Drosophila melanogaster: one gene and its partner. The protein of the gene in region 1 interacts with the protein of each later gene in a pairwise test. Each region holds a gene or a part of one and is shown in the gene's direction. Other genes may lie near its edges.

What was found.
Region 2: the proteins of CG42676 (region 1) and prd interact in a two-hybrid assay, tested with the Drosophila melanogaster proteins (one large-scale study listed by BioGRID).

The regions. Positions count from the first base shown.
Region 1 is NT_037436.4:1,801,328-1,807,458, forward strand, and holds CG42676 (uncharacterized protein), read left to right. Parts: upstream 1-1,779; 5' UTR 1,780-1,882; coding exon 1,883-2,000; intron 2,001-2,105; coding exon 2,106-2,240; coding exon of another isoform or gene 2,241-2,248; exon of another isoform or gene 2,249-2,406; intron 2,407-2,467; coding exon of another isoform or gene 2,468-3,028; intron 3,029-3,089; coding exon of another isoform or gene 3,090-3,505; exon of another isoform or gene 3,506-3,583; intron 3,584-3,682; coding exon 3,683-4,131; intron 4,132-4,203; coding exon 4,204-4,381; intron 4,382-4,715; exon of another isoform or gene 4,716-4,908; coding exon 4,909-5,312; 3' UTR 5,313-5,593; downstream 5,594-6,131. Other genes in the region: patj, read left to right, coding at 1-497; JTBR, read right to left, coding at 908-1,366.
Region 2 is NT_033779.5:12,082,392-12,087,863, reverse strand, and holds prd (paired), read left to right. Parts: upstream 1-2,036; 5' UTR 2,037-2,334; coding exon 2,335-2,401; intron 2,402-2,485; exon of another isoform or gene 2,486-2,721; intron 2,722-2,775; coding exon 2,776-4,550; 3' UTR 4,551-4,869; downstream 4,870-5,472. UniProt on the Drosophila melanogaster protein: Pair-rule protein expressed in a segmentally repeating pattern to define the polarity of embryonic segments. Capable of sequence-specific DNA-binding.

The DNA.
Region 1 (6,131 bases):
AGCTGAAGTCGCGCTCCCTGGAGCCACTAACCGGATTGGCTATGTGGTCGTCCCAACCGCAAATTATCGAGCTGGTCAAGGGCGATCGCGGTCTGGGCTTCTCTATTCTGGATTATCAAGATCCGTTGGATCCCAACGATACGCTGATTGTAATCCGTTCTCTGGTCCCTGGAGGGGTGGCTCAATTGGACGGACGCCTTATACCCGGAGATCGACTTTTGTTTGTGAACTCCATTAACCTGGAGAACGCCTCGCTGGATCAGGCAGTGCAGGCTTTGAAGGGTGCTTCGAAAGGAGTGGTGCGCATTGGTGTGGCCAAACCACTGCCCATGACGGACAACTCACTGAAGGCTTGCAGCAATGCGAGCACCACCAGCGAAGAGACCTTGGACGCCCAGCCATCGCCTCCAGCCTTGCCCACAGTTGCTCCGCCCGCCATGCCGCCTAGTGCCTCCATGGGAGCTGAGCCCGACCTGATTCCCGACTGGCGGAACTAGGGTGTTACGATAACGAAGAATTTCACACATTCCAGGCATTTGAATCTTTAAGCCTGTTTTAAATCAAATCAAACGCGGTTGCTAACTAATGGATTAGTTAATCGATATTTTCTACGAATATGAACAACAGGCAGTAGAATCTGAAACGATGTCAGAAACGATGCCAGAAGTACAGGAGCGATTGTTATTACCGAAGCAAAATGTTATGCATATTATTAACGCCGAATTGTGTTTGTCCCCTGAAAACAAGCATTCCACAAGTATGCAATATATTAAACCCCCTAGTATTAGCAAATGAATTTTAACATGGTATTTCCAGAGTGTATGTACTTAAACTAAATTAAATAATGTACCTTCCGTACGGTCAATGAGTATCACTTGGGGAAGGGAATCGATGATTTGGCGGAGGGCTATTGGACCCGGTTTAGCTGTCGCTCGATTCTCATGTAGTTGCGCCTGGACAGGACTCGATCGCGGGCATAACTGACCAGGTAGCTAAGTAATCCGATTACAAAGCACGAGACCTCAAATTTCAAGAAGTTCATTTGCTCGATGAGCGCCACCCGGTCGCAGCTCCTGGTTACGATCTCGCCGCTCTGGCAGCGCAGCACCTCCTTGTAGTGCGTGTGAATGCAGACGCCCAAGCTCCGGCTGACTATATCGAATTCGGAGCACGGGTGGCACTCCTGCACCATCGTGTACTTCTCATTCCGCCAGCAGGTCGAGTTGTCCTCGATCACGAATTGCGGCTCTCGGCGACGAGGACCATCTGCCGCGTAACGAGATTCCACGAACAGGACGAGTATGGTGACCATCGTTAGGGCTCCTAGTCCAAGGAGCATGTGGTGACGCTGACAGTTCTCGAGCATTGTGAAGGCGGGCAGCTAACTCTTGTATCGGATCAAGTGCTGGAAACAACCTGGAAGAACCTATGCATGCTCAGTAGGTGGATAACTCCAATACATATGGACGGGATTACTCGAAATCCTATTGCTTTGCTTTTCCCCCTATGAAATCAGCTTTACTGTGTGACCAGGCGAGAGTTTTTATTTTTGTTCAGCCGTCTTTGGAACTAGTTCTTGCTTGGCATTTAAGATTATATATTAAAAAAAAATTGAATTTGCACATGCATAGATTTCGTAATTTAGATAAAGCGTTAAATTAAGGGAGAAAATAATATTTTTCGAGGAAATCTTATAAGCCGCGTATTCCGCTCCGATTCGCGGAACTGCAGATGTGTGGCCAGACTTCGGGGAGCTCGAAACTAGTTCGCTGTTTACGAACGACAATAAACGGAGACCAAAACAATTACGGAGGACAAGCACAAAGCGGACTTGAGAAATTTGTGAAAATTTTTATAAATCGCGTGTGTGGGCGCTTTGAAAATGGTGCTGCGATCGGGAATCATAATTCCGTTTCAGTTTCGCGACACGAAGAAGCTGCTGATGATCGGGGTGCCGCAGGAGAACCGCGACCTAAACATATGGGACCTAAAGAACGTGGGTAAGCACTGGTCTGGTCGGAGAGGGGGAGGTGGCTCAAATCACGGAGCCCCCAAGCGATTTGGTCGCCAAAAATGAAATATGTCTAACAAATCCCGCTCCACAGTGCGCGCCGCCTTCGGGATCTACAACTTCGAGTTCCGGAACAAGAAGATCGGCTTCAACATCCCGGACGAACTGCTGCTGCACTATCTGGCCCAGAGGCACGACCTCACCAACTTCGTTATAGAGATCAGTCAAGGTAAATAGCGTTTAAGTTACGGCTAAGTCGCGTTTCAATTAGCGTTTAAGCGTTCGAGTGACTGCGGGCCACCAAAAGTCGCGATTTCGCGGAGTTCCGGAGTTTCACAGTCAAGTCTTGTTTGTAGATCAGTTGTGTTTATGTAGACGATGCGTGCGCTTCGCTTGTAAGTCTCTGCGATTGCCATCTGTAATAAAACCCAAATTGTAAAATGCTCCCTCTTGCAGCTCTGGACGATGGCCACGCCAAGGAGATGCTCTCCTACGAGCCCTCATGCTCGATGGCGGTCCTGAAGCACCACCCTCATCAGCACCAGCACCACGTGCCTCTGCCGCAGCGGTCAAACGAAAGCGCCTCGCACCACGCCCATGAATATGTGCCTGACTCCCAGCCCACCTCTCCGGCCCTACGTATGAGTTCTGAGGCGGTGGACTCGCCACTGGACCAGCAGGGCAACAACTCGGTGCCGGAACGCACGGATAGTTCCCACAAACTGCGCCTGGGGCAGGCTTACTCGGAACGGACGCCGGAATCGATGACCCAGGCCATTGACCCCATGGATATTATACCCAAGTCGGAGTCCGAATCGGAGGTGGAACGTCTGCAGCGGGCCTCCAGATTCCTAGCGCGCCAGGAACAGCACCAAGCCCAGCAGCAACAGCACCAGCAGCAGTTGCTGCCCGGTCAGCAGATCTTCCCCAGCTACACGCATCCTTTGCCGTCGATGAATGCACCAAATACCTCCCAACAGTCGCCTTACACACCGGGTCTGATGAGTCGCTTTAGAAGTGAGAGAAGTGCTTGCAAAAGTCTGAAATCCGAACTAAATCCTTAATAATTCTCTTAAAGAACGCGGCGAACGCATGTCCAAGGACCAAAAGGAGCTGTACGTTAAGTTTTTCGAGGACAATCCATGCATGCTATCAAACCACCGCCGGCACGATGGCCTCACTGAACCATTGTGGGCAAAATTGGCCCACATGCTGAATAGTGTTCCCCAAGGCGCCGTAAAGAACGTAGAGGACTGGAAGCAGACCTTTGACGCCTGGCGGTACCGCATCTTCATGTACACACGCTACAACTCCAAGCTCAGCATGTCGGAAACGACCGATCCGAAGAACTTCAAGCCCCTGACAGCTACCGACCAGAAGGCGTATGCCATGTGGACCAGCCACAAGCACATAACGCCGCAGGACTACGAAAAAATGGACATGTTCGTGCCGCTGGACGAGACCACCACGGCAACGAACACCTACGACTACTAAATCGAGATCAAAGTGCAAAATATAAAACTGTTAATGTGTACTTTAACTATTGCTAAGAAATAGAATACTTTTTAAGAGAAAGAAACCGCGTTTTTTATGTTAGATAAGATAAGACATGAAATATGCAATTTCAAATTATACTATCTACTAACTACAATCCATAATTATTTATTGCAGTCTACGATGTCGGCCTGGACAACTATGTGCTGAATCGCCAGTGCCGCTGTACAGACCAGAAAATGCTCAACGATTCGCCAACGCCCGAGGAACCAACCAATTTGTGCCAGCCCAGCAATGTGCTAGAGGCCGCGCCGACTCCGCTCATGTCGCTGCCACCCTGCGAGGACGAGGATCACGAGCCTGAGCATGAGCACGAGCACGAGGAGAGCATGAAGTATCGGATCGATAAGGAGAGCAGTGGAGCTGCCTCCGCAGAGCTGGGCTTGCCCGCCTACGAGGCCTGCTCGCCCAAGATGGACTACGACACGCAGGACGAGCTGCCGGACTCGCCGCACTCGCAGCCGCTGCCACCACCGCCTTTCCCATTGTCCACGGCCTTGCCGCTGCCGCCTCCGCCCACCTCGCATCACCAACATCTGCAACAGCAGCAGCAGCAGCAGCATGAGGTGTGTTTGACCATGTCCGGCATGTGTAACGCTTTTGTGTTATATACTTTTGGACCTGCCTTATTATTTCAGGAGCGCATCCAGCAAGAGTACATCATCCAGCAGCAGCAGCAACATCAGCAGATTCAGCAGCAACAACACCACCTGGCTCTCCTGCAGCAGCAGCAGCAGCAGGAGCAACAGCAGCAGATTCAGCAGCACCAGGGAGTCAACATAGCCATAGGCACCACTGCGACAAACAACATTCGACGTAAGTTACTCTCTTGAATTATTACCCCGATCCAATTAGTCAATTGTGTTATTGTTTATAAGAAACTACCAAGCACCATTGAATCTAATTTTAAAGATTAATAAAATGTTCGAGATGTGGCGATATAAATATTTTACTACGGCGATTAAGTTTTGGAAATGTTTCTAATTTGTCCGCAATGTCAGCAAACCACATTCCAAATCTTATCTTTAGATGACTTTATTCTCCTATTTACTTCTTCAATTTACTGCCCAGTTGCTGCATTGTTTCAATGTACAGACAGAAATATTAAAAATTATATTACATCAACTTAATTTTATGAAGAAATATATTTAAATAATATAATTGCCGTTTTCCATTAGGGCTGCATTCGCGATGTTCATAAACAAAGCGCACACCAATTGAGCGCATTCCAATGTTATCAGGTGTATTAATTTGCATTAATTAATAAATTTTAAAATTATTTAGCCGATTACGGAACAATGGTGTTAATGAGTTAATGGTGTTCATCTGTTTCTCGTCCGCAGAGCGCAAGGAGCGCATGTCCAAGCGGCAGAAGGAACTGTACGTACACTTCCTGCAGCAGCACCAGTTCATCAACGATCACCGTCGCAATGATCCTGCGCTGGACCCATACTGGCTGAAGCTGGCCAACCTGCTGAACGCCGTGCCGCAGGGTGCCGTGAAGCACGTGACCGAGTGGAAGCAGACCTTCGACAACTGGCGATACCGGATCTTCCTTTACGCGCGCTACAACTCTAAGCTGCAGGACGAGGAGGCGCAGAATCCGCGAAACTTCAAGCCGCTGACCCGGACCGACAAACAGGCCTACATCATGTGGATCCGGAACCCGGACACCGCGCCGCCCGACCTGGACAAGATGCGCAATGTCTTCTGCAATCTGGAGGAGTCGGCGGTGCAGCAGGAGTAGATAGCCGTACATCCGTCGTAGCTCTAACATTTCAAATCTTCTTTGTCCTCTTTTCAATGGTTTCTATCGTGTTAGTCGTGCGTATGTGTGTCGCTGTTTTTTTTCCCTTTGGGGAATGCATTTTTCTTTTAGTTTGTTGTCATTGTTATGCCTTTTTGAATATTAAACATGTGTTTTCTGAATGAATCGCTAATTTTAGTCGGAAATATGCGCGCGGATATATTTAGCCACTGGCCGAGCAGGTCGTTTGCCCCTGCTGGTGTTTGGCATATACTAAACTCAAGTTCTGAACTGGATATGGAAAGACATGGAATGACAATGAGTGCGTAGATTGCTTAGCTCAGTTCGCAGTTCTGGCAAGGATGTCGAATTCGACCACTTGGCCTTGAAGGCGTTGATTTGAGTGGCTTCAAACAAGCCAGCGAACAAACAAACAAACTCCTTTCAGAACCAGCTCCACTCGTGTGGCTCCGTATCTCCATCTGGGCACCCACGCCCGTTTCGTCTACCGGTGCTGATTAATTCGCTGCCCGCGGCGGTACAGCATCCATCCAGCGGGGCCTGTTGTACTTGTCGCTAATCCCCGGCCATTAATTATCCGTTCAATCATGTTCGATTCGCTCGATGCCGCCATTCAATCGCCACTTGGCAGCTTGGCGGGGATTATTTTTATTGCCAAGTCCCGATAATAATTCCTTCTTTCGCCGATCTGCGAATTAGTTCCAGTGTTTCTTGAACCTGAAACTGAAAAAGGGAGCCCCACCGATTAGCATATTGTTAATTAAAATAAAAATTGTTTGGCGGCGGCATTGGTATTGG
Region 2 (5,472 bases), on another chromosome or scaffold:
GGCAGTTCCTCCAAATCGGATGAGATTCGAGTCTTGGAGATGTGTAGTAGGGTCGCAGGTAAACGAAGCATTCGCTGGCGAAAGTTGAGGATCGCGAGGTGGATTTTCATTCATAGCACCCTGGGTGGCATCATAAAAAGTCTCTTAGCATCCTTATTCATTGCACGGATGTGTCTTCATTTTCCCGCTGGCCGATTCGTGGAAATGCGAGCGAAGCTGACTTGCAGCGTTTATGGCACCGATGCCTCCTACTGCTTCCTGCATTTCGGCCAGGATTCAGGACCTTTCTCTACCCAAAGTGACGATCCCATAGCAGAATCGCCTTTTTCCAAGCGTTGATAGCGCGAAATTAGCGTTATATGAGTTGCCTATTCAGCGCTCATTGTCCTGCCAAATTGTGAAATCAACGAGGATCAAATCGAATGGTGGGTATCGATGGTGGATTGAGGCGCCTCTCCATTTGATTCGAGTTACATATGTTTGAGGATAATTTAATTATCACAGAATACTTGCTAGTCTGCCATCGTGGCCATGGGCTCAAGGTCATCGGGGATTTTTGCTATCCTGCCAGGCGCAAATGTAGCGATTCCATACTGGGTGCCTGGTACTGCGAACTCCTCCCGTTGGGTTTGCTTAACCAAACGCCCAACGGGCAGCCGCACCGAGCAGTAGAAACCCAACCTTTGTTGCCTTGCGGCCTCCGTTGTCCTTGATCTGCATCTCATCTGGATCTTGCACTCCGGCACTTGGATACGGATCCTGCCGAGGAGCATGCACATTCGTCACATCTCTGTGGGTCAATTTCCTCGCTGGCGTTTCAAACGGAGGTTGGGGTCCATCATTAATTCTTGCAACACTTGGCGCTCTCTATTGTTCGCGGCTTTCAGGTTTTTGTTGTTATCCCACTCGGCGCTTTCTTTTCTTTTCCATCGGTTTTGTTTAACTTCTTTTCGAGGGTCTCTGTTGCGTGAAATTCTACAATTAATCAAACCCACGACGGCCCATAGAAAAGGGTCGAAACTATGGTTATAAGCCGGAGGCAGCGGAGCATAATGGTGGCAAAAGCATGACAAGGATGTGGATGCGGTCATGGTAAGGATATGGATGAAGTCACTTTGTTAAATGTTAAATTGGAAAGTTGGAAACATAAACTGATCAATAGTCGCTGATTTTGTATTCAACTGAATATGTTTCCCTGCATCCAATATGGTGTTATATATTTAATATCTCACTTATTTTGTTTGAAAATAATTTACTATGATCTATCAATAGATAGTTCTAAACACACACTTTTATATTTATATGTAATATACTGATAATTAAAATAAAACCTACAATTTGAAATGAAGAACTTTGTTCACCGTTTCCGAAAGCAATAAATAACTGAGAGAAAAGAGGCTACTCGAGTGGCAATATAAACGAAAGCCATAATTAGGTATCAATAAAGGATATATTACGCTTGTAAAGAGTGTTAAACGCGTACTCGATTGCATTATGGGTTCCAGTGAATATCTAATTTGATTTCCGGGGCCAAGTGGAACCCCAAAGAATATCTCAAGTGAAGAGTGAAAAGCAAACGCCAGGCAGACTGATCTCTCAAGTCCAGTATTCCCTTATCCTTATAACAAGGTATCCATAAAGGATATGTAACGCTTAAATTGTATCGTGCTACTTACGGCATTAATTAATTTCCGGAAACCAGTGAAAGTCGAAACTATGCATAGGATTTGAATGGATGGAATGCCCAGGATCTGGAGCAGAAGTATTGTGGTTCCCTTGTACTCGTATACCCCCCAATCCAAAGTTCTCTGCTCTTCTCCCATTCCACGGTGCTTTTCACAGCTGAGACGCCCCCTGGCGGCGAGCGAGACGGTTGCTAAATGGGTCGAGTGAGCCAGAGCGAGATGCCGTTGTGGAGAGCGCTGCGATTGGTCCGCGTAGTGGTTACCTGCCAAGTGACTGTGGGATATGGCCGACGTCTGGGCCGTGGCTTCACAGAAAGGCAACGATCTTGGCCGACGTTCGGATGGTGAAGTCAGTCAGGCACAGACTGCGCAACGAGCCACACCGCATCTCGTCCTCGTTCTCGTCTTCGCCTTCGCCTCCGTTTCATCTTTCCCATCGAGATTGCGAACTAACAGATACTTAGATATTCGAAGTGCAACTAATCGGTTAATCAATACCTCGCAACGCTTACTTATGACTTTGACAAAGTGTCCAGACATTGTCCAGAACTAAAGTGATATAATCAAGTGATATACGAACTTCGAGACTGAGTTAACACCGGTTTTGTGCCGGGACAAGCTTACGCATCTTGGAGCTCCTCCAGAAACTATGACCGTAACCGCCTTTGCTGCCGCAATGCACAGACCCTTCTTCAATGGATATTCTACCATGCAAGGTGAGTGTCTATCGCTTATATACAACATCCAGCAAAAGTCACTTTGGAATATAAGTCACTTTCACAATGTACTTACTAAATATCAAAGCCTAGTTGATCATTTCCATATATCTTCATTTCTAAACCGACGGCTCAAGATCCCGCTAAAGATCTCAGTTTGGGCCAAGGCCGTCGGCTACTCTCTAATGGCCATTAGTTGCCCGGCGGGAGAGTCGCGCGCCTCTGACCTTCGACCTTAGCTCCGAGTTTCCCGTCTTCCCGGGAAGTCAACTCCGGTCGAAGGTGTCGTAAATCAAGTGACACGCGCTCCGCTCTACCTAGCTAGTATTGGAAAAGCCTCTAAAATTTCCATTTTCTCATCTTCCTCATTCCAGACATGAACAGCGGCCAGGGGCGCGTCAATCAACTAGGTGGAGTTTTCATCAACGGTCGTCCTTTGCCCAACAATATTCGTCTTAAAATCGTCGAGATGGCCGCCGATGGCATTCGGCCCTGTGTGATCTCCAGACAGCTACGTGTGTCCCATGGCTGCGTATCGAAGATCCTGAATCGCTACCAGGAGACTGGCTCCATTAGACCAGGCGTAATTGGTGGCTCCAAGCCGAGGATAGCCACGCCCGAAATCGAGAACCGAATTGAGGAGTACAAGCGCAGTAGCCCGGGCATGTTCTCGTGGGAGATCAGGGAGAAGCTGATCCGCGAGGGTGTCTGCGACAGGAGCACAGCACCATCTGTGTCCGCCATATCGCGCCTGGTGCGCGGCCGAGATGCTCCATTGGACAATGATATGTCTTCTGCCTCTGGATCTCCGGCGGGTGATGGCACCAAAGCATCGAGTTCCTGCGGCTCCGATGTCTCAGGTGGCCATCACAACAACGGCAAGCCCTCCGATGAGGACATCTCTGACTGTGAAAGTGAGCCGGGAATCGCCTTGAAGCGCAAACAGCGCCGCTGCAGGACCACCTTTTCCGCTTCCCAGTTGGACGAACTGGAACGCGCCTTCGAGCGCACCCAATACCCTGATATCTACACCCGTGAGGAGCTGGCCCAGCGCACCAATCTCACGGAGGCACGCATTCAGGTGTGGTTCAGCAATCGGCGTGCTCGTCTCCGCAAGCAGCACACCTCGGTCTCGGGCGGAGCACCTGGCGGAGCAGCTGCCTCAGTGAGCCATGTCGCCGCGTCCAGCTCTTTGCCCAGTGTGGTATCAAGTGTGCCCAGCATGGCTCCGCTGGCCATGATGCCGGGATCCCTGGATCCAGCCACTGTGTACCAGCAGCAATACGATTTCTACGGCAGTCACGCCAACATTTCCGTATCCGCCGCAGCTCCAATGGCCAGTAGTAATCTATCGCCCGGAATTACAACCACGCCACCGCACCACCATCAGTTCTACAATCCCAGCGCTAACACAGCCAGCTACATAATGCCGGGTGAGAATGGCAACACCACACCCACCGGGAACATCATCGTCTCCAGCTATGAGACTCAGTTGGGTTCAGTTTACGGCACCGAAACGGAAACCCACCAGACTATGCCACGCAACGAGAGCCCCAACGAGTCCGTGTCCTCCGCCTTCGGGCAACTGCCACCCACACCCAACAGCCTTTCCGCGGTGGTGAGTGGAGCTGGTGTGACCTCCTCCAGTGGGGCCAACTCGGGAGCCGATCCCTCGCAGTCGCTGGCCAATGCCAGTGCTGGAAGTGAGGAGCTATCGGCTGCCCTGAAAGTGGAATCGGTGGACCTGATCGCGGCCAGTCAGTCGCAGTTGTACGGCGGATGGAGCTCCATGCAGGCACTGCGCCCCAATGCGCCACTTTCGCCGGAGGACTCGCTGAACTCCACCAGCTCGACCAGCCAGGCTCTGGATGTCACCGCCCACCAGATGTTCCATCCGTATCAGCATACGCCGCAGTATGCATCCTATCCGGCACCAGGCCACGCCCATTCGCATCACGGACATCCCCATGCGCCGCATCCGCACGCACATCCGCATCCGCAGTACGCAGGCGCACATCCGCACTATCCGCCGCCCAGTTCGTCGGCGCACTTCATGCCCCAGAACTTCAATGCCGCCGCCTTTCCTTCGCCCTCGAAGGTCAACTACACAACGATGCCGCCACAGCCGTTCTATCCCTCATGGTACTAGAATCAAAGGGACACGGATCCACCACCTACTCCTCCAGGAGCAGGAGCAGGTGTCACCAGATCCATGGTACAAGTCGCCAAAGATGTACATACCCATAGAGCAGGGGACGAAAATATAAATAACATTTTATTTGTGGTGGAGCAGTACAGACATTTTCCGTTTGGGAAAACCGCTGACAGACTCGCTCCTAAACAATAAACATATGTATTAGTTCCAATTCGTAGATGTAAGCCTAGAAAATAGTACCGACTTAGGATTAGAGTTTAAGATGATTAGCCTAAGTAGCAAGTGCTCTTAAATAAAAAAATATATCTATGCTAATTTACAACGTACTCCAATGATCTTTCACTCGAAACGCTGGCCATTCAGCAGCCTTGACACGCTTCCGTACGCAGCGGGAAATGGGAAATCCTCTGGGCCATTAGAGCCTTTTAGTAGCTGCGCATTCCACGGACCTGGCTGGAGATCTCAACACTCGCCCCGGGTGAGATACCGATTCCGATTGCTGCTCTCGGAACTTCAGATCCAGCTGTGAGCGGGTCGCATAGTTTCCGGAAAAAAAGAAGAGAAAACTCCCGAAATGCAAGATGATGATTTGGAACGTCCAAAATAGCGAAGACAACTCCAACCAAGGTGTTAATTGCCCCCTCGATTCCATCGAATAGAGAGTGTTGGTCCCTATGGGACTACGAAGTAAATGGAGTAATTGCCCTCGTTCGGACTTACCTCAAATTCACACCTCATCCTCGGGGATCTGCCTACCCAACCATATTCTACGTGTCCGAGCGATGGCAATTAATGAAGTCATTATCCTTGAATCCTCACCTCCAGACAGCTCAGACAGCCTAACGCACACTGGCTCTATTATTTTAATCTAGAAAAAACTCCTAATCGCTATTTGCTCTATCGCTCTGGCCATCGA